Anolis sagrei: one gene and its partner. The protein of the gene in region 1 interacts with the protein of each later gene in a biochemical or structural test. Links are inferred from orthologs where the notes say so. Each region holds a gene or a part of one and is shown on either strand. Other genes may lie near its edges.

Region 1 (9,497 bases):
CTGCGACCACTAATGTTCATTAAAATGTTAGTTTGTTCAGATTATGCCACTGTAATCATACACAACTGTGCTTAATAACACAGGGAGAACAGAATAAGCAAACCCCAAGCAGAGGACACAAATTGAGGCGACAACTGAGAAATCTAGATCTTTATATCGTCCTCTTTTGTCAGCTAATACTGACCAAATGAACAAGATATTAAGCCAAATGATACAATGATGTAATTATGTCCCCATTACTCTTTTTCTCTGTAGGTTCTTTAAAAAGGCTGCTCAGAGTTTTGAGAAGTTTTGGTGAAGATAGTAACTTAAGATCTGCACCACTATTATTTCAGCATACCTTAAAAAAGACAATATCACATTTTTTGCCTCCAATTGTACTGAAAATCCAGAAACCCTTATTCTGAGAAAGCAGATATAGAGGAGAATGCATCTAGGGGCCCTTCCACACAGTCATATAACCCAGAATACCAAGGCAGATCATCTACAATATCTGCGTTGAACTAGGTCATTTGAGTCCACAGTGCCATATAACTCAGTTCAAAGCAGATAATGTGGGATTTTATACAGCTGTCTAGAAGGGGCCTAGATATTTTAGTTGCAACTAATTTTGTGCAATGCATAAAAGACTAACAGTACAATTCAACTTCTTATGAGTGCAACAGCCTGGAAAATGAAGGAAAAAAATCCCTGATTTTTATCCCGTCCTTTTCCTGAGCTCATTATTGATTTTGTATCAGTTTTATCCATCAATGAAGCAAAGTCTGCTACAAGACAATCACTTATTTATTACTTAAACTTTATCCCATTTATTACCTCAAATCTAGCAGCAACTAACCAAAAAATAAAACCAAGCACAATATTGATACACACTATATTGATGATGCTAGGTAAACAATCATTGTTCAGACTCAGTTTTCTTCCTTCTACAATAAAACACTGACAGATTTGTCGTAGGGATTGCTAATATTAGTAGATAAAGCACCATATAAATGGCAAGTATTCAATGTCACTGCCTTTGCACTCATGAAAAACAGATGTTCTGCAGGCATTCTACTTACTTGGACTGAGCAGAAAAATTAGCTGCCGCAAAAATAGCAGCTTCAACCTCTACATTATCATGAGAATCCAGACTCTGGCGAATACTGTGATGCGCATTTTTCCTTTCTGGAATTATGGATGCCATGCTACCCAACATCCTGGAGAACAAAATAGAGGAACATGAAGAAAGAGCTCAGGAACCTGCTTATGATGAACTACACTTTTAATATCTTGCCATTCCACCAACAACAACAACAACTTTATTTTTGTATTCTGCCACCATCTGCCCGAAGGGACTAAAGGCGGCTTACATGGGGACAAAGCCCAGTCAGAGAAAGATTAAAATATAAAACAGTAAAATTAAAATAAAAACATCATAAAACATAACTATCAACAGTCAAACTATCAAAACAACCAATAGCCAAACCTAGAGGCTATGTCAAAAGCCTTTTTTCCCTGCCCTTTTCACATTATTGTGCCATTTTTGATCACAATACTGCTGCTATCATAAAGCCTGCTTTAGGTATGCCTTGGTTCAGAATAAAAAAGGTGCTCAAACCAACTTGAAAACCTCTCTTTCAAGTAACAAAATAGACACTCAGCTGTTCAAAAATGTATCACCTAAACATAAATCAAAATGTTCTTTTTTACTGTGTCTTTTCAATGTTATCATACAATATTATTCAGTTGTTAAACATAAACATAAAATACATTCTGGGCAACTTTATTGCCATTTCTTCACACTGTTGAAATTGAAGTCTTGGGGAACAATTATAATCCAGTCATAGAATACACTTTTCCCTGCAGCTCAGTCAATCCCTAACTTATCCAATTAAAAATGAATCCATGCCACAGAACTGGGAAAGACTCCATCAGATACCCTGAAGATCATTTGCAAATCAGAGGAAACAGTACACAAACTAATAATCTTTCTCAGCATATACCTGCTTAATATGTTCACATTGCCCACTATAAGTGGCACCCTCCAGAATGCAGCATCTGGGCAGATCCTTGCTGAGTTAAGTGTGCATACCTGAGTGTGATGGCGCGTGCAACTGGATCGTTACTGTGAATAACTGAGAAAACTCTTTTCACAAACTCATCCACATTCAAGATCTTCTCCAAGTGTTTCTCACTCTGCTGAGTAACTTTCAAAACACAGAGTCTCAGGAAGTTGTTTCTGTTTTGAAATAATATTTTAATTACTAAAAATCATTATGTTTCCAATTTCTATAAAAAGTCTGAGGCAGGTAGCAATAGAAAATCAACAGTACCAAAGAATCACAACTACATCACAATGACAACTGAATGAAAGTCCAAAAAGTGGAAAAATAAAACATAAGTGGGATTTCCTTAGCAAGACTTGCTATTGTTTTCCTCTGAGGTTGAGAGAGTATGGCTTCACCAAATCCCACTTTATGATCAAGGTGGGATTCCAACCCGAACCTCCCTGAGACCTAGACCGCCACTCAAAATGCCATAATCATACTGGCTCTTGCAAATGAATTAATAATTAATAATCATAATTAAAATTCCAGTGCAGAGTGAAAACTCCAAGCAGATGTTATGGCACGTAAGAGTTCTTAAAAGGGTGACTTTGCCATATATCAAATGGGTATTAACAGGCAAAAGGCAAGAAGAAGCATCCCTCAATAGGAAATTTCCATGCTAGGGTGAGGGTACCTACACAGCTTTTCTGTGGTTTCCATAAAATACCACAACACAATTTCCACTTGATCTATCACTAAAGGTTCTTCCATACAATAGCTATAATCCGGGCGAGAACAAGTTAAGGGGGGGGGGGGGAGAGATGACATTTCCGCTAAATGCGCGCTCAATCGCAGCAACAGAGGGAAACCCATTTCAAAAAGAAGGGCTGTGAGGACAGCAGGGGAAGAAAGCCTGGGACCGATCTGTGCGGGGACCTGCTCTGAGAGCTTTTTATCTTTCCCCTTTTAATCCGCATTTTGGCACTGTATGGAAGCACCCTGAGTGGGCAAGACCTATACAGAAGAACATTTCCTAGTCAACCTGCTTCTAACCACAACGCCCCAAGAAATGGCTATCAGCAGTGCTTTGAATTAAAAGCAACTCAGTGCTTCAATACTACAAATCCAGAACATACAAGTTTAGCTTACCCAACTCTGAAAACATCAGCAAGTTTTAAAAATGCTGAGTTAATTAGAATCGGGAATGGATACTTCTGAAAGAGTCTGGGAAAACGGACAACAGCTTCACACTGCTCCCCAAGTTTGCCAGATCGAAGACCTGCAACAGAAAGTAAAATCAGCACAGCACCTAAAGGCATAGAAGCAGAGATAATGAAGCAGACTATGAAATGAAGCAGACTATGAATGTTGGGTGAAATATGTAACAAGGCCATCTGATGCTGGAAGTTAAGCAGGGTCAATTCTGGTTATTACTTGGCTGAGAGACAAAAGGAGCATTTAATTAATTTAGGCAATTTTTATCCCGCCTTTCCCCACTCAAGGGCCTAAGGCAGAGAATTAATACTGGATAATTCATGCAGTTCAACTGCTGTAGTTGAATGCTATGGAACCATTGGAGTTGTAGTTTTACAAGTTTTTTAAAGACTTCTCTGCCAAATTTTGTGTTTAGGCCTGGGTCCTATCACCAAGATTATGGAGAAATATGCAAATACAGGTCTTCCAGAGAATGTGTCCAGAGTAGGGCAACTAAAATGATCAAGGGTCTGGAGAACAAACCCTATGAAGAGTGGCTTAAAGAGCTGGGCATGTTTAGCCTGAAGAAGAGAAGGCTGAGAAGAAACATGATAGCCATGTAGAAATATGTGAGATAAAGTCATAGGGGGGACGGAGCAAGCTTGTTTTCTGCTGCCCTGGAGACTAGGACCTGGAACAATGGCTTCAAACTACAAGAAAGGAGATTCCATCTCTGAACATTAGGAAGAACTTCCTGAGTGTGAGAGCCGTTCAGCAGTGGAACTCTCTGCCCCGGAGTGTGGTGGAGGCTCCTTCTTTGGAAGCTTTTAAACAGAGGCTGGATAGCCATCTGTCAGGGATGCTTTGAATGCAATATTCCTGCTTCTTGGCAGGGGGTTGGACTGGATGGCCCATGAGGTCTCTTCCAACTCTTTGATTCTATGATTTTTTAATTTGATTTATGTCTAATTGTAGTGTATAATTGTAATTGTTTGTACTGGCATTGAATTTTTGCCATTGCTTATGTGTAAACAGCTTTGAGCCCCCCTCGGGGCGAGAAAAGCGGTATACAAATACTGTAAATAAATAAAAATAAAATAAATACAGTTTGGCGCCACTTGAATAGCCATGGCGGCACATAAATGTCGTAAATAAATAGTTTGGTGAGGAACCAGCACAATTTGGCAGTGAAGGTTGTAAAACTACAATTCCCAAGATGCCATCGCCTCGAGCCATGACGTGTCAGACAGCACTAATTCTCCTGAAAACAAACCCCGCCTCTCCCTTTCAAATTCCCCGCCTCAGGATAAAGGGGCGGGGCTTCGGTCAAACAAGGCCATCACTGTGACTTCGGCGCATGCGCACATCCCTCGCTTTCCCTCTTACCTTTATCCAGCTCCATGAGGGCGGAGTTTGCATCCAGTTCTTGTTCGCCATAGCCGGCGTCGGCAAGAAAGGATTTGGAAGCCGAGGCCATGTTGTTGTGTAGTATACAAACAAAACCCCTCACAGGAAAGGGAGGGAGAGAAAAAAGTTTATTATTTCCATTTCCACTCGGACACAACTCGGCGCGCACCGCCTTCCCTCTCCCTCACGAGCAGAAGCTAGCGCGCATGTGCAAACGGGCGCGCGTGCGCCTTGACGTGCCTAGCGCGCATGCGCGCAGTCCGGTTTTTAAGGAGTCGATGCGCATGCGCCACTGCAAGGAAAGCCGGTTCTCATTTCAATGGAAAGCTGAAGGGCGGTGGGCGTGGTCTCGCGAGGAAGGTGGTAAAGTGGGAACCAATAGGAAAACAGGGGCGTGGTTTGTGTTTCTGCTATAACCAATGGGAAGCAAGGAAGTGACTTTGGCGCGTAGTTCGGGTTGGCGGGAGTTAGGGGATGGGCTGGGAGTTTCAGTTGGCGCCGCGCGGAGAGCCAAGGAGGTCTTGAGCTCTGTTTACCATGCTGTGCCGCTCCCTCGTCCATCGCTGCCAAGGTGGACCGCATGGTGGGTTTGGATTTCTGTGCTTGCAATATATATTGCGGGGAACACATGGGGATTTTAGTGCCCTCCAGGTGTTTTGGACTCCAACTCCCACCATTCCTAACAGCCTCAGGCCCTTTCCTTTTCCCCCTCAGCCGCTTAAGCGGCTGAGGGGGAAAAGGAAGGGGCCTGAGGCTGTTAGGAATGGTGGGAGTTGGAGTCCAAAACACCTGGAGGGAGGGCCCAAGTTTACCCATGCCTGGCCCATAAACACTGAAGCAGAAGTGACCTTTGGTATTAGCAGCTAATTATTGTTTTTCCCCACCTTATTATTGTTTCTATGTAGGTCTGCTGCCAAGATTTTCCTTACAGCACCTTCTAGGGTGCTATTCTTGTACTAGAGAAGATGACCATCCGTCCTTTGGAGAAATGGGAATCCCGGTTCCTCCTTTCGGGTGCACCTTTTCAACAGGTACAATGGAGGGGGTTGTCCAATTTGTGAACATTTGTAGTTCTTTCCTTTTGTGTTTAGATTACGATCAGTAGTCCGCGGTGGCGCAATGGGTCCACAAACTTTTTAAACAGAGGGCCAGGTCACAGTCCCTCAAACAGTTGAACAAATTATAATTTGAAAAAAATATGAATAAATTCCTATGCACACCGCACATATCTTATGTGTAGTGCAAAAAACACATAAAACAGTATAGTAATTGAAAAGAACAATTTTAACAAATATAAACTTGTTAGTATTTCAATGGGAAATGTGTGCCTGCTTTTGGCTGATGAGATAGGGTTGTTGTTGTGGTGTGCTTTCACGTCATTTCAGACTTATGTTGACCCTGAGTGAGGGCTGGGTAAATGACCTTGGAGGGTTAAACCCTCATTTTGTTGAACTTCTGACCTGACGGTTGGCTGAATTGCTGACTGGAAGGTCGGAGGTTCAAATCCACAAGACAGTTCCTGCCAACATAGCAGTTCGAAAACATGCAAATGTGAGTAGATAAATAGGTACTGCTTTGGCAGGAAAAGACAGAGACACTCCAAGAAATCTTGCCGGCCACACAACCAGGAAGGTGACAACACAGGCTCTTTGGCTTGAAAATGAAGAAAGCACCTTCCCAGAGCCTGAGATGAGCACCACCTCCAGAAGCTGGAAATGAACGGAGAACCCTCTGCCTTTGTTTGTGTTTGTGTATCATATATAATTATAAATGCACTGACTCTTTGTCTGTGTATGTAAATAATAATAATAAACTTTATTTATACCCCGCCACCATCTTCCCCAACGGGGACTTGGGAAGGCTTACATGAGGCCAAGCCCGGACAACACATTACAGCAAAATAAAACCAAAACATAAGCAACAAGCAACAGCATCAAAATTACATTAAAAAACATATGAATACAATAACAAAGTAACATTCCAATAAACACAATCACAGTGACAGTGGGAAGGCCACATGTTCAGAATAAAATGTTTAAAAACTCGAATGAGATAAGAATAGGAGTAAGTTATTTGCAGGGAGCTCATAAAGAAACAAAGGATTGTGAAACTAAACTTCCCATTAAGTTGGAAATACATAAATAATAAATCAGGGAGAAGGGTGGAATATAAATAAAGCGTATTATTTGATACATAGCAAGATTAGTATACAGCAAACAAGGTCACTGCTGGCTTTTGTATTTGATCACCTTTCAGACACTTCCCAAGTGTCTAGGACTGCGTGATGTATCAGCGAATGCGTGCAGATCACAGACTGACATCTAGTCTTGATCTCTTAATACTGTCCTGTAGGTTTATCTCCATTTTACTTCTGTGTTTTTTTTGTCAAGTAGGTAAGCAGTAATTTTAGCAGAGTGTTATACATTACTGTTACTTGTAAAACTTTTAGAAACAGACATTTTGCTTATTTATTTTCCAGCTCCCAATGCACAACATATTCTTGCTGTTGCAAATGAAGAGGGGATCGTTAGGCTGTATGATACTCATGCATCAACAAGCAGCAAAAAGATTTTTAGAGGTAAACACAACACTTGATTGTGCTAAATTGTTCTGATAAATGCTGGGCCATTTTTAGGATGTGCTTAAACTTACTTGGCATTCTTGAAAAATTGAATTTCACAGCATACAGAGAGGTAAATAAATAGACCATATTCTTTTAACTCTTAATGATTAATGTGGATTTTGTTTTTTGTTTCCCTTCAGAATGGCAAGCGCATTCAAATGCTGTTTTTGACCTTGCCTGGATGCCCAGAGAACACAAAATTGTGAGTAAAGTAGTATTATCTTGCCCTTATGTTCAACGGGGCTTAGAAGAAGCCAAATTTCTAGGAAAGTAAAACATTATAGTCAATGGGCACAAGTATGGGAACATATTTATGGGGGAAATTGTTGGACCTTGCAATAGAAAGCTTGAGACAAAATTACTTCCAAGACACTTCTGATTCCATTAATTCTATAAGGTATATATATTTTGCATTCTAAGTACTAAGACACATCTGTATATCTGTTAACTTGTACTCTCAAGTCAAGCTATGTATATGCTTGTTTACTTTCTTCATGTACACCTGAGAGTAGGTCCCACTGAATTTGCTGGAGTAAACATGTATATAGCACTTCTCTCAAACTTTGTTGTACATAAGATAGTAAAGGTTTCCCCTGACATTAAGTCTAATTGTGTCCAGTTCTGGGAGGTGATGCTCATCTCAATTTCTAAGCTGAAGAGCTGACATTATCCATAGACATCTCCAAAGTCTTGTGGTCGGCATGACTGCATGGAGTGCCATTACCTTCTTGCAGAAGCGATACCTATTGATTTACTCACATTTGCATGTTTTCAAACTGCTAGATTGGCAGAAGCTGGGGCTAACAGTGGGAGCTCACCCCGCTCCCCACACTGGAACCGCCAACCTTTCGGTCAGCAAGTTCAGCAGCTCAGTGGTTTAACCCACTGCGCCACCAGGGGGCCCTTGCTGTACATAGTTGATGAAATATCAGGCTTTCCCTTCAAAAGGCCCTGTCTCAATAAGTTTATAGTCTGATAAGATATTCAACAGTTTGGTGTCACTCACTGCAAATAATAGTTAACTCATATTTTTATCGTTCAGGTAACTGCTTCAGGAGATCAGACGGCAAAAGTGTGGGATGTAAGGACTGGTGAACTTCTTGGGGTGTGCAAAGGGCACCAGTGCAGCCTGAAGTCCGTTGCTTTCTCCAAATTTGAGAGTGGTAAGTGTTAATGTTATCATCATCATCTGGCCATATTGACAATCCCCCTTTAAGAAGAGAACATGGGAATTTAAATCACCCAATTGCAAAACAGAGCTGGGAGTGTGGAGGGCTAAGAGCCTGGATTAGAATGGCCTGGACATATCTCTTGAAGAGGAGAGTTCCTCAAAGGGATTTGGTATTGACCTTTATCCCTTTTTTAAAAAATGAAGCATCTTATTTTTATATTTCACAGCGGTGTTCTGTACAGGAGGAAGAGATGGAAACATCATGGTTTGGGATACTCGATGTAATAAAAAAGGTATACTAAGTATCTGTTTATCTTATCTCCATTCTCCTTCCCCCAGCCTTCATAAAGCTTTGTAAGGCTTTTCCTTCTGCTGAGATACAAATATAATCCTGAAACTAAAGCCCCTTCCACACAGCTGAATAAAATCCCACATTATCTGCTTTGAACTGGGATATATGGCAGTGTGGACTCAAATAACCCAGTTCAAAGCGGATATTGTGGGATTTTCTGCCTTGATATTCTGGGTTATAGGACTTTGTGGAAGGGCCCTAAGTTTATGATGCAGTGGAGGTTGCTTTTAACATTTGTTCTTGAAAACCGCTTTCCAGATGGATTTTACAGACAGGTGAAACAAATAAGTGGAGCCCACAACATAACAGACAAGCAGACGCCCTCCAAACTAAAGAAGAAGAAGCAGAACTCAAGAGGCCTTGCTCCATCAGTGGTAAGGATCCAAAAGCTAAAAGGTGTCTTGCATTTTGAAAAAGTTAGTTCTGTAAGTTGTTCTGTTATGGCTTTTCCAGGTTGAAATCTCTCTGAGCTCAAAAGTAAACCGGAAATAGTAAATGCCAGGAAGAAAAGTGAGCAAATGTGGTGAAACAGATCTTTGCTAGTCCCCAGTAATAGTTATCCTCAATGATTCCTTGCTTTCGGCCAGAGAGGTGAAGAAACCAAAAGGGTGCTGTGACATCACAAGACAATTTTGCTAAGCCGATCACTACCAGACAATTGCCTTTTTTTCAGTCTGACACACAAACATCTCTCTTTTCATTTTATTCTTGTGTGGTGTT
Region 2 (9,286 bases), on another chromosome or scaffold:
GGGATTAACATAACTCAAAAACCACTGGACGAATTGCGGCCAAATTTGGCTACAAGACACCTATTAACCCAAGGAATGACCATCACTAAAAAAAAATTAGTTTTTCATTTGGGAGTTGTAGTTGCTGTGATGTATACTTCACCTACAATCAAAGAGCATTCTGAACTCCACCAATGATGGAATTGAACCAATCTTCCCACACAGAAGTCCCATGACCAACAGAAAATACTGAAAGGGTTTGGTGGGCATTGATCTTGAGTTTTGGAGTTGTAGTTCACCTACCTCCAGAGAGCACTGTGGACTGAAACAATGATGGATTTGGACCAAACTTGGCACGAATATTCCATATGCCCAACTAGGAACACAGATGGAGCTTGGGGAAATAGACCTTGACATTTGGGTTGTAGGTGAACTATAAATCCCAGTAACTACAACTCCCAAATGTCAACTCCATCTGTGTTCTTGACAATTGTAGTTACTGGGATTGATAGTTCACCTACAATCAAAGAGCCTTCTGAACCCCACGAACGATAGAATTGGGGCAAACTTCCCACAGAGAACCCCTATGACCAATAGAAAATACTTAAAGCCATCCAGTCCAACTCCCCTCACCAGGGCAAGAAAACGTAATCAAATACTGTTTACCCACAAGCATCAAGAAATTACATATATTAGAAACCAACACTTCCCCATTACTTTAATTTTCAGATCACCAGACTGGGCCACAGCAACGCATGGCAGGGGACGGCTAGTTTGCAAACAAATTCATTTAAAAAGAACAGACAATGTGATTTTCTAGATGTGTTTTCTCATGTTGGTCTCTCATAGTTGAGGTCTACCTATGATGTCAATTACAGGCTTCTCTCATCTTTTTAAGTGGGAGAACTTGTACATTTCGGTTTATGAACCCACGCGATCTCTTCGATCATCTGGAGAGGCCCTGCTCTCGCTCCCGCCCCCTTTGCAGGCGCGATTGGTGGGGACGAGGGGAGGGCTTTCTCTATGGTTGCCCCCCCAACTCTGGAACTCTCTACCTAAAGATATCAGGCAAGCCCCCACTTTGGCAGTCTTTAGGAGGAGCTTGAAAAGGTGGCTGTTCCAGTGTGCCTTCCCTGAATGAAGGAAATAATGCCTGATCTGACCAATCTCCTATACGTCCTCTAAAGCACTTTATCTATCCATTGGATTGACCTCCCCATACCACTTGTTAAAACCCCATACCTAGACATACCCTACTCTGTACACTCCCAGGGTTTTAAAAATGTTAATCTACATCTGGCCCGCCATAATGTTTTTAAATCTTTTTTGTGTTATTGCAATTGTATTATTTGTATTGTTTTATTTGCTTGCTTGTTTGTGGATGTATTGTTGTATTTGATGGGCTTGGCCTCATGTAAGCCGGCCTGAGTCCCTTCGGGGAGATGGTGGTGGGGTACAAATAAAGTTTTTTTTAAAATTATTATTATTATTATTATTACAATTGATATCTGACTAAATACTTTGTTCCCCACTGTAAAACCATACTTGTTTGTGGGACAGTGCCATTGTTTGTCCTTTAGAAGCACTTGAGAGGGAAAAGTCTTCCATATGATTTTGTTTTGTTTTCTATTTTATTTATTTTTATTTTCATTTGAGAAGAGAAAATACAGTTATATAGACATATATTATACATTTTGCACTCTTTTATTTACATTCACCCCTGTGCTCCCCTTCTCCATAGCCATCTCTCTTCCAAAAGTCCCACCAAAACATCAGTTCTTCATTTGGAGGTAAATTCCCATACTTGTTTTCCAATGATTTTTCTAGAAATTTTCTCCAGATACTTTCAAAGTCATTTTTTTACATAATCCCTTCTTTACTTTTAAGTTTGATGTTAGCTTATCGTTCAATGCCATTTTCCAGATTTCTTTATACCATTCATTAATCTGTATTTTCATTGCCCCCTTCCAATATTTTGCAATTAATAGTCTAGCTGCTGTTCATAACATGTCTATTATTTTTTCCCCTTATCTTTCCCATCCTCTTTATTAATTAAAAGTAATATTTCTACTGGATTCCTCCTAATTTTTATATCCATAATATTTTCTATTTCTGTTATAACCAATTCCCAAAACTCTTTTATATATTTGCAGTCCCACCACATATGCATGTAGGTTCCAATTTCTTGGCATCCTCGCCAACATTTTTCATTATTGTTCTTATTCATGTTTAACATTCTCGGTGTTAAATACCATTTCCAAATTAGTTTACAATAGTTTTCTTTTATTCTAATTGACATGTTTTGTAAGTGTCTTGCTTTCCATATCTCTTCCCATTCTTTTTCAGTTCTCATTGTTGCTACTCCCTCCTCCCATAATTCTCTTAATGGTAGTCTTTTCTCTCCCCCCCCCCCCATGTCTTTAATTAGTATTTTATATATTTTACTTGTTGTTCCTTTTAATTGCTCACTATTTTCTCTTTTCAATCCTTTTATTATGAACTAGCTGGCCCCTGCCACGCGTTGCTGTGGCCCACATGGGGGTTCTGTGTGGGAGGTTTGGCCCAATTCTATAGTTGGTGGGGTCCAGAATGCTCTGTGATTGTAGGTGAACTATAAATTACAGCAATTACAGCTCCCAAATGTCAAGATTCCATTTTCCCCAAACTCCACCAGTGTTCACACGCCCAAATGTGAACACTGGTGGATTTTGGAGAAAACAGACTTTGATATTTGGGAGTTGTAGTTGCTGGGATTTATAGTTCACCTACAAAATACTGTGTTTTCTGATGTTCTGTGGTGACCCCTCTGATACCCCCTCATGACCCCCCTAGGGGTCCCAACCCCCAGGTTGAGAAACGCTGCTCTTGATTGTAGGTGAACTATAAATCCCAGCAACAACTCCCAAATGTCAAGATTCCATTTTCCCCAAACTCCACCAGTGTTCACATTTGAACATATTGAGTATTCGTGTATATTTGGGTCCAGATCCATCATTGTTTGAGTCCACAGTGATCTCTGGGTGTAGGTGAACTACAACTCCAAAACCAAAGGACACTGCCCATCAAACCCTTCCAGTATTTTCTGTTGGTCATGGGAGAACTGTGTGCCAAGTTTGGCCCAATTCCATCGTTGGTGGGGTTCCGAATGCTCTTGATCAGTGATTCTCAACCTTCCTGATGCCTCGACCCCTTAATACAGTTCCTCATGTTGTGGTGACCCCCCAACCATAAACTTATCTTCGTTGCTACTTCATAACTGTGGTTTTGCTACTGATATTATAATTATATATTTTATATTACATGTAATATTACTAATAATATTACAATATAGTAATATTTAATACTGATATTGTACTATGCTAATAATATAATATATTGTATGTATATATATATCTCATAAGCCACTCTGAGTCCCCTTCAGGGTGAGAAGGGCGGCATAGGAATGTCGTAAATAAATAAATAAATAAATAATGTAAATATCTGAGAAGCGGGATGTATCGTCATTCACTGGACAAATTTGGCAGAAATACCCGATACGCCCACATTTGATTACTGGTAGGGTTGGATTGATTTTGTCATTTGGGAGTTGTAGTTGCTGGGATTATTAGTTCAGCTACAATCAAAGAGCATTCTGAACTACACCAACAATGGAATTGAACCAAACTTGGCACACAGAACTTGGTCTGGTGGGCATTGACCTTGAGTTTTGGAGTTGTACTTCACCTACATCCAGAGAGCACTGTGGATTCCAACAATGATGGATCTGGACCAAACTTGCCTTGAATACTCAATACGCCCAAATGTGAACACTGGTGGATTTTGGAGAAAACAGACTTTGATATTTGGGAGTTGTAGTTTCTGGGATTTATAGTTCACCTACAAAATACTGTTTTCTGATGTTCTGTGGTGACCCCTGACACCCCCTCATGACCCCCCCGTAGGGGTCCCAACCCCCAGGTTGAGAAATGCTGCTCTTGATTGTAGGTGAACTATAAATCCCAGCAACAACTCCCAAATGTCAAGATTCCATTTTCCCCAAACTCCACCAGTGTTCACATTTGGGCATATTGAGTATTTGTGTATATTTGGGTCCAGATCCATCATTGTTTGAGTCCACAGTGATCTCTGGGTGTAGGTGAACTACAACTCCCAAGCCAAAGGACACTGCCCACCAAACCCAGCCAGTATTTTCTGTTGGTGATGGGAGAACTGTGTGACAAGCTTGGTTCAATTCCATTGTTGGTAGGGTTCAGCATGCTATTTGATTGTAGGTGAACTATAAATCCCAGCAACTACAACTCCCAAATGTCAAGGTCTATTTCTCCCAGACTCCATCTGTTTTCATGTTTGGGCATATGTAATATGCCCAAATATGCCAAGCGTGGTCCAGATCCATCATTGTTTGAGTCCACAGCGCTCTCTGGATGTAGGTGAACTACAACTCCCAAACTCAAGGTCAATGCCCACCAAACCCTTACAGTATTTTCTGTTGGTCATGGGAGTTCTGTGTTCCAAGTTTGGTTCATTTTCATTGTTGGTGGAGTTCAGAATCCTCTTTGATTGTAGGTGAACTATACATCCCAGCAACTACAACTCCCAAATGACAAAATCATTTTTTTGGAGTGAAGGGCATACATTGGGTTGTTGTGTCTTGGGCCCAAATTTGATGACAATTTGTCCAGTGGTTTTGAGTTCTGTTAATCCCACAAACGAAGATTACATGTTTATTGATATAGATTAATAATATGAACTGTTTTATTATTAATAATAATAATAGGCACAATCCAAGCCCTCCCGACAGATGGCCAGACTTGGTGTGCCTGTGTTGTCGTTTTGGAAGGAGACTGACTGAGAGGGCTGAGTGTGTGAGAGAGGCCAGGGCGAGGAAGCCCTCTGGGCGGGAGGGGTTGGGCAATCGCGTGGCCGACGTCACAATGGCGGCGTCGTCGGTCGTCGAGGCGGCGAGGGCTGTGGGGCAGAGTGGGTGGGCAGGGGCTCGAGGGCGGCCATGAAGGCGAGCAGGGCCCCTCCGCGCCCCAGGCCCCCGGCCCCCGTGGCCCCTCCGGCCCCGGCCCTCCCCCCGGCGCCCCCCAGCATCGCCCTGGACGCCCCCCTCTCTCTCCCCGCAGGAGCCGGAGGAGGAGGAGGAGAAGGCAGGAGGAGGAGGAGGAGGAAGAGGAGGACGGCGGCGGCGGCGATGATGATGCCCAAGGGCCCCCAAGGCAGCGCCCAGGAGCAGGCGGGCCAGGCAGGGCCGGACTCAGGCCCAGCCGCCCCCTCCGCCGCAGACGCCGCCGAGAAGCCCTCCCGCGGGGCCGCCAAGCCCAGGCTCAACGGGGTAAGTGGGCTTCCCTTCTTTGGGGCCAGGGGGAGGGAGAAGCGCTGCGGAAGGAGGGCGGCCGGCCGGCAGGGGGCGCTCTCCCGTCCGCCTCCCTTCTCCCCCTCCTCAGCCATTCCGGCCTCCCCCGAAGCCACCCCTAGGGGGCCGCCGCCTGGAGTCCCACCCCCCCCCCCCCCGCCAGGCCACCAGCCAAACCCTCCCGACAGATGGCCACCCGCCTCCAGAGAAGGAGGCTCCGCCGCCTCTCTAGGCCAGGCGTCCTCAAACTCTTTGGGCCTTCAACTCCCAGTTGGCAATTGAACAAGTTCGTTAGGGCTTCTGGGAGTTGGAGGCTCAGACAGCTGGAGGGTGCTTTCTCTAGGCCTTCCGGACTTCCTTCCGCACAGCCCTCGAGCCCAGAATATCAAGGCACCGTAATCCCACCGTAATCCCTTTCTAATCATCATCATAATCAAACTTTCTTTTTTTTTTTTGGCGTAGCCAATTGTATTTTATTATTTTTTAAAAAGCATTCCCTTATATAGGTTCCCTGATAAATTATATCCCTAGCTTTTAGCAGTGGGACAACAATGTGCAAAAAGGAGTGTATAGAAATAGTCCTAAGAGGCACGCTGATGCTTGGAATTTAAGGCTGCACCCCCTTTGTTTAAGATATGCACAAAGTTTGGACTACTTTTCAGCTATAGCCTTTGGCCACCCCAATATTCCCTCATAAGGACTACATATTTACAGATCACCTTTTATATCCCGTCCTTTCTCAACCTCCGCAGAGGGACTCCGGACGGCTAACAAAGCGGCACCCCATGGCGCCCACATCAAAACATAAATATACAATTAAATAAAATATACAATTAAATAAAACTTTCTTTCTACCCCGCTACCATCTCCCCAAGGGACTCCGTGCGGCTTACATGAGGCCGAGCCCATAGAAGAACCATCGTAAAAGCAATAACAAAACATCAATACAAAACAATCAAAATAAATCTCACAAACAAAAAATAAACAGTAACAACAAGCATTTAAAAACCTATGGCTGGGCCAAAGATCGGAGCCAAAGCAGCAAAATCCATACTGGGGGTCAGAAATGGAAACGGTTTGGAATGACACAAAGCAGACACTGTCATTGTCATGTGTCTGCTTTCATAATTTTAAAGAACTTGTTTTAGTTTTAATTCTTGTTACATTTTAAGGTTTATATTGGAAAGTGTTTATTAAGTTAGTGTATTACTGATGTCATGGCCTATGGCTAGTACAATAAACCATTCATTCATACTATGGCTGGGCCGAATGTGAGAATAAAAAATAAAAAAATAATGCTGGGCATGAACAAGGTAGAATACTGGGATAGAATTTTTGGCAAGAGATGGGGCAAGCAAACAATCCTAAATCAATGATAAAGTGCATTTAGAGGACCTATTGCTGAGAGTATTTCCTTATTTTGGGAAGGCACACTGGAACAACCACGTTTTCAGGCTCCTCCTAAAGACTGCCAAAGTTGGGGCATGTTTGATGTCTTTGGGCAGTGAGTTCCAGAGTCAAGGGGCCACTACCGAGAAGGCCCTCTCCCTCACCCCCTTTGAGCCCCTGGTGGTTATAGCACGGAGCTGCTGAACTTGTTGACCGAAAGGTCGCAGGTTCAAATGTTAGCTATTAACCCCAGCTTCTTCCAACCTAGCAGTTCGAAAACATGCAAATGTGAGTAGATCAATATTTATTATTATTTATTTAGGGCTTTTATATCCCGTCCTTTCTCAACCTCCGCAGAGGACGGCTAACAAAGCGGCACCCCATGGCGCCCACATCAAAACATAAATATACAATTAACAATAATGTAATAATAACAATATAAAACAGTATAAACAGTATAAAACCGTCTAAACAACAATCCTATCTCATTAGGCCCACACTTCCCTTTGAAATACTATAAATTTATATTTGTTAAAATTGTTCATCATTTTAATTATTGTATTGTTTTTAAGTGTTTTTTGCATTACAAATAAGACATTTGCAGTGTTCATAGGAATTCATTCATGCTTTTTTCAAATTATAATCCGGCCCTCCAACAGTTTGAGGGGCTGTGACCTGGCCCTCTGTTTAAAAATTTGAGGAACCCTGGTCTAGAACATTGCCATGCAGCCCGAAAAACCTACAACAACCCAATTTCCTGCCTTGATATTCAGAGGCATACGGCTGTGTGGAAGGGCCCAAGATCTGCTTGGGATTAGGTTATCTGAGGCCCCTTCCACACAGCTGAATTAAACCCCCCACGTTATCTGCTTTGAACTGGGATATATGGCAGGGTAGACTCAGATAACCCAGGGCCCATCCAGACAGCCATATAACCCAGAATATCAAGGCAGGAAATCCCACAAGATCTGCTTTGAACTGGGGCCCCTTCCACCCAGCTAAATAAAGTCCCACATTATCTGCTTTGAACTGGAATATATGGCAGGGTGGACTCAGATAACCCACTTCAAAGTAGATATTGTGAGATTTTCTGTCATGATATTCTGGGTTATATGGCTGTATGGAAGGGCCCTAAGTTATCTGAGTCCACACTGCCATATATCCCAGTTCAAAGCAGATAATGTGGGGTTTTATTCAGCTGTGTGGAAGGAGCCCCAGTTCAAAGCAGATATTGTGGGGGTTTCTGCCTTGAAATTCTGGGTCTTATGGCTATGTAGGAGCCCTTCCACCCAGCCCTATATCCCAAAATATCAAGGCAGAAAATCCCACAATATCTGCTTTGAACTGGGTTATCTGAGTCCATACACAGATAATGTGGGATTTCCTGCCTTGATATTCTTTGGATATAGACAGGCCCTATATTTCAGCAACTGATCCCAGGTTTTCTGTTTATCCCAGATTATCTAGCTGTGCGAACTCATATAATCCAGTTCAAAGCAGATAATGTGGGATTTTATTCAGATGTGTGGAAGGGGCCTTAGTCCACACTACCATTTATTTATTTATTTATTTATTTATTTATTTAAAACATTTATATTCCGCTGTTCTCACCCCAAAGGGGACTGAGGGCGGAGCACAGCATATACGCAGCAAACATTCAATGCTGGGACACAAATTCACATACAATACATAAACATTAAAAAACATTTATCAAAATATTAAAATACACCATTTAAAAACGTCCTAGTTATCCCCGTCAAATCTAATTGGCCTGGTCATCTTTCCTATTGCCGCTTTATTGCCCTGTCCCGAAAGCTTGGTCCCACAGCCAAGTTTTTACCATCCTTCTAAAGGACAGGAGGGAGGGGGCCATCCTGATTTCACCAGGAAGGGAGTTCCAGAGCCGGGGAGCAATCACCGAGAAGGCCCTGTCTCTCGTCCCCACCAATCGCGCCTGTGACAATGGCGGGACAGAAAGCAGGGCCTCCCCGGAGGATCTTAATCTCCGCGATGGTTTATAGGGGGAGATGCGTTCGGACAGGTAATTTGGGCTGAGACCGTTTGTCAGATTTGTGTTGTCCAAGGCTTTCATGGCCAGAATCGCTGGGTTGCTGTGAGTTTTCCAGGCTGTCTGGCCATGTTCCAGAAGCATTCTCTCCTGATGTTGGTGAAGCTGGGGGATACCTGCTCAGACCCATGACCTTTGACCTGTGGGGTCCGCAAGGTTCCATTCTATCCCCCATGCTTTTCAATGTCTACATGAAACCGCTGGGTGAGGTTATCCTGAGTTTTGGAGTTGGGTGCCATCTGTACTCAGATGACACCCAACTTTACTACTCATTTCCACCGAATTCCAAGGAAGCCTCCCAGACCCTGAACCAGTGTCTGATGGCTGTGATGGACTGGATGAGGGCTAACAGATTGAAGCTTAATCCAGACAAGACAGAGGTCCTCCTGGTCAGTTGCGGGGCCGACCGTGGTATTGGGTGGCAACCTGTGCTCCATGGGGTTGCACTCCCCCTGAAGGCGCAGGTTCGTAGCTTGGGGGTCCTCCTGGAC

Evidence for each region.
Region 2: the proteins of DTL (region 1) and KMT5A form a complex in vitro, tested with the Homo sapiens proteins (2 studies listed by BioGRID, with this or other methods). The link is inferred for Anolis sagrei from reciprocal best matches to the Homo sapiens genes DTL and KMT5A.

Annotation. Positions count from the first base shown.
Region 1 is NC_090021.1:32,417,437-32,426,933, forward strand, and holds the start of DTL (denticleless protein homolog), read left to right. Parts: upstream 1-5,098; 5' UTR 5,099-5,168; coding exon 5,169-5,214; intron 5,215-5,536; coding exon 5,537-5,662; intron 5,663-7,110; coding exon 7,111-7,209; intron 7,210-7,394; coding exon 7,395-7,456; intron 7,457-8,296; coding exon 8,297-8,417; intron 8,418-8,652; coding exon 8,653-8,718; intron 8,719-9,035; coding exon 9,036-9,151; intron 9,152-9,497. Other genes in the region: INTS7 (integrator complex subunit 7), read right to left, coding at 1,062-1,199, 2,075-2,221, 3,180-3,309, 4,611-4,701. UniProt on the Homo sapiens protein: Substrate-specific adapter of a DCX (DDB1-CUL4-X-box) E3 ubiquitin-protein ligase complex required for cell cycle control, DNA damage response and translesion DNA synthesis.
Region 2 is NC_090034.1:41,651,894-41,661,179, reverse strand, and holds the start of KMT5A (N-lysine methyltransferase KMT5A), read left to right. Parts: upstream 1-4,901; 5' UTR 4,902-4,987; coding exon 4,988-5,317; intron 5,318-9,286. UniProt on the Homo sapiens protein: Protein-lysine N-methyltransferase that monomethylates both histones and non-histone proteins. Specifically monomethylates 'Lys-20' of histone H4 (H4K20me1).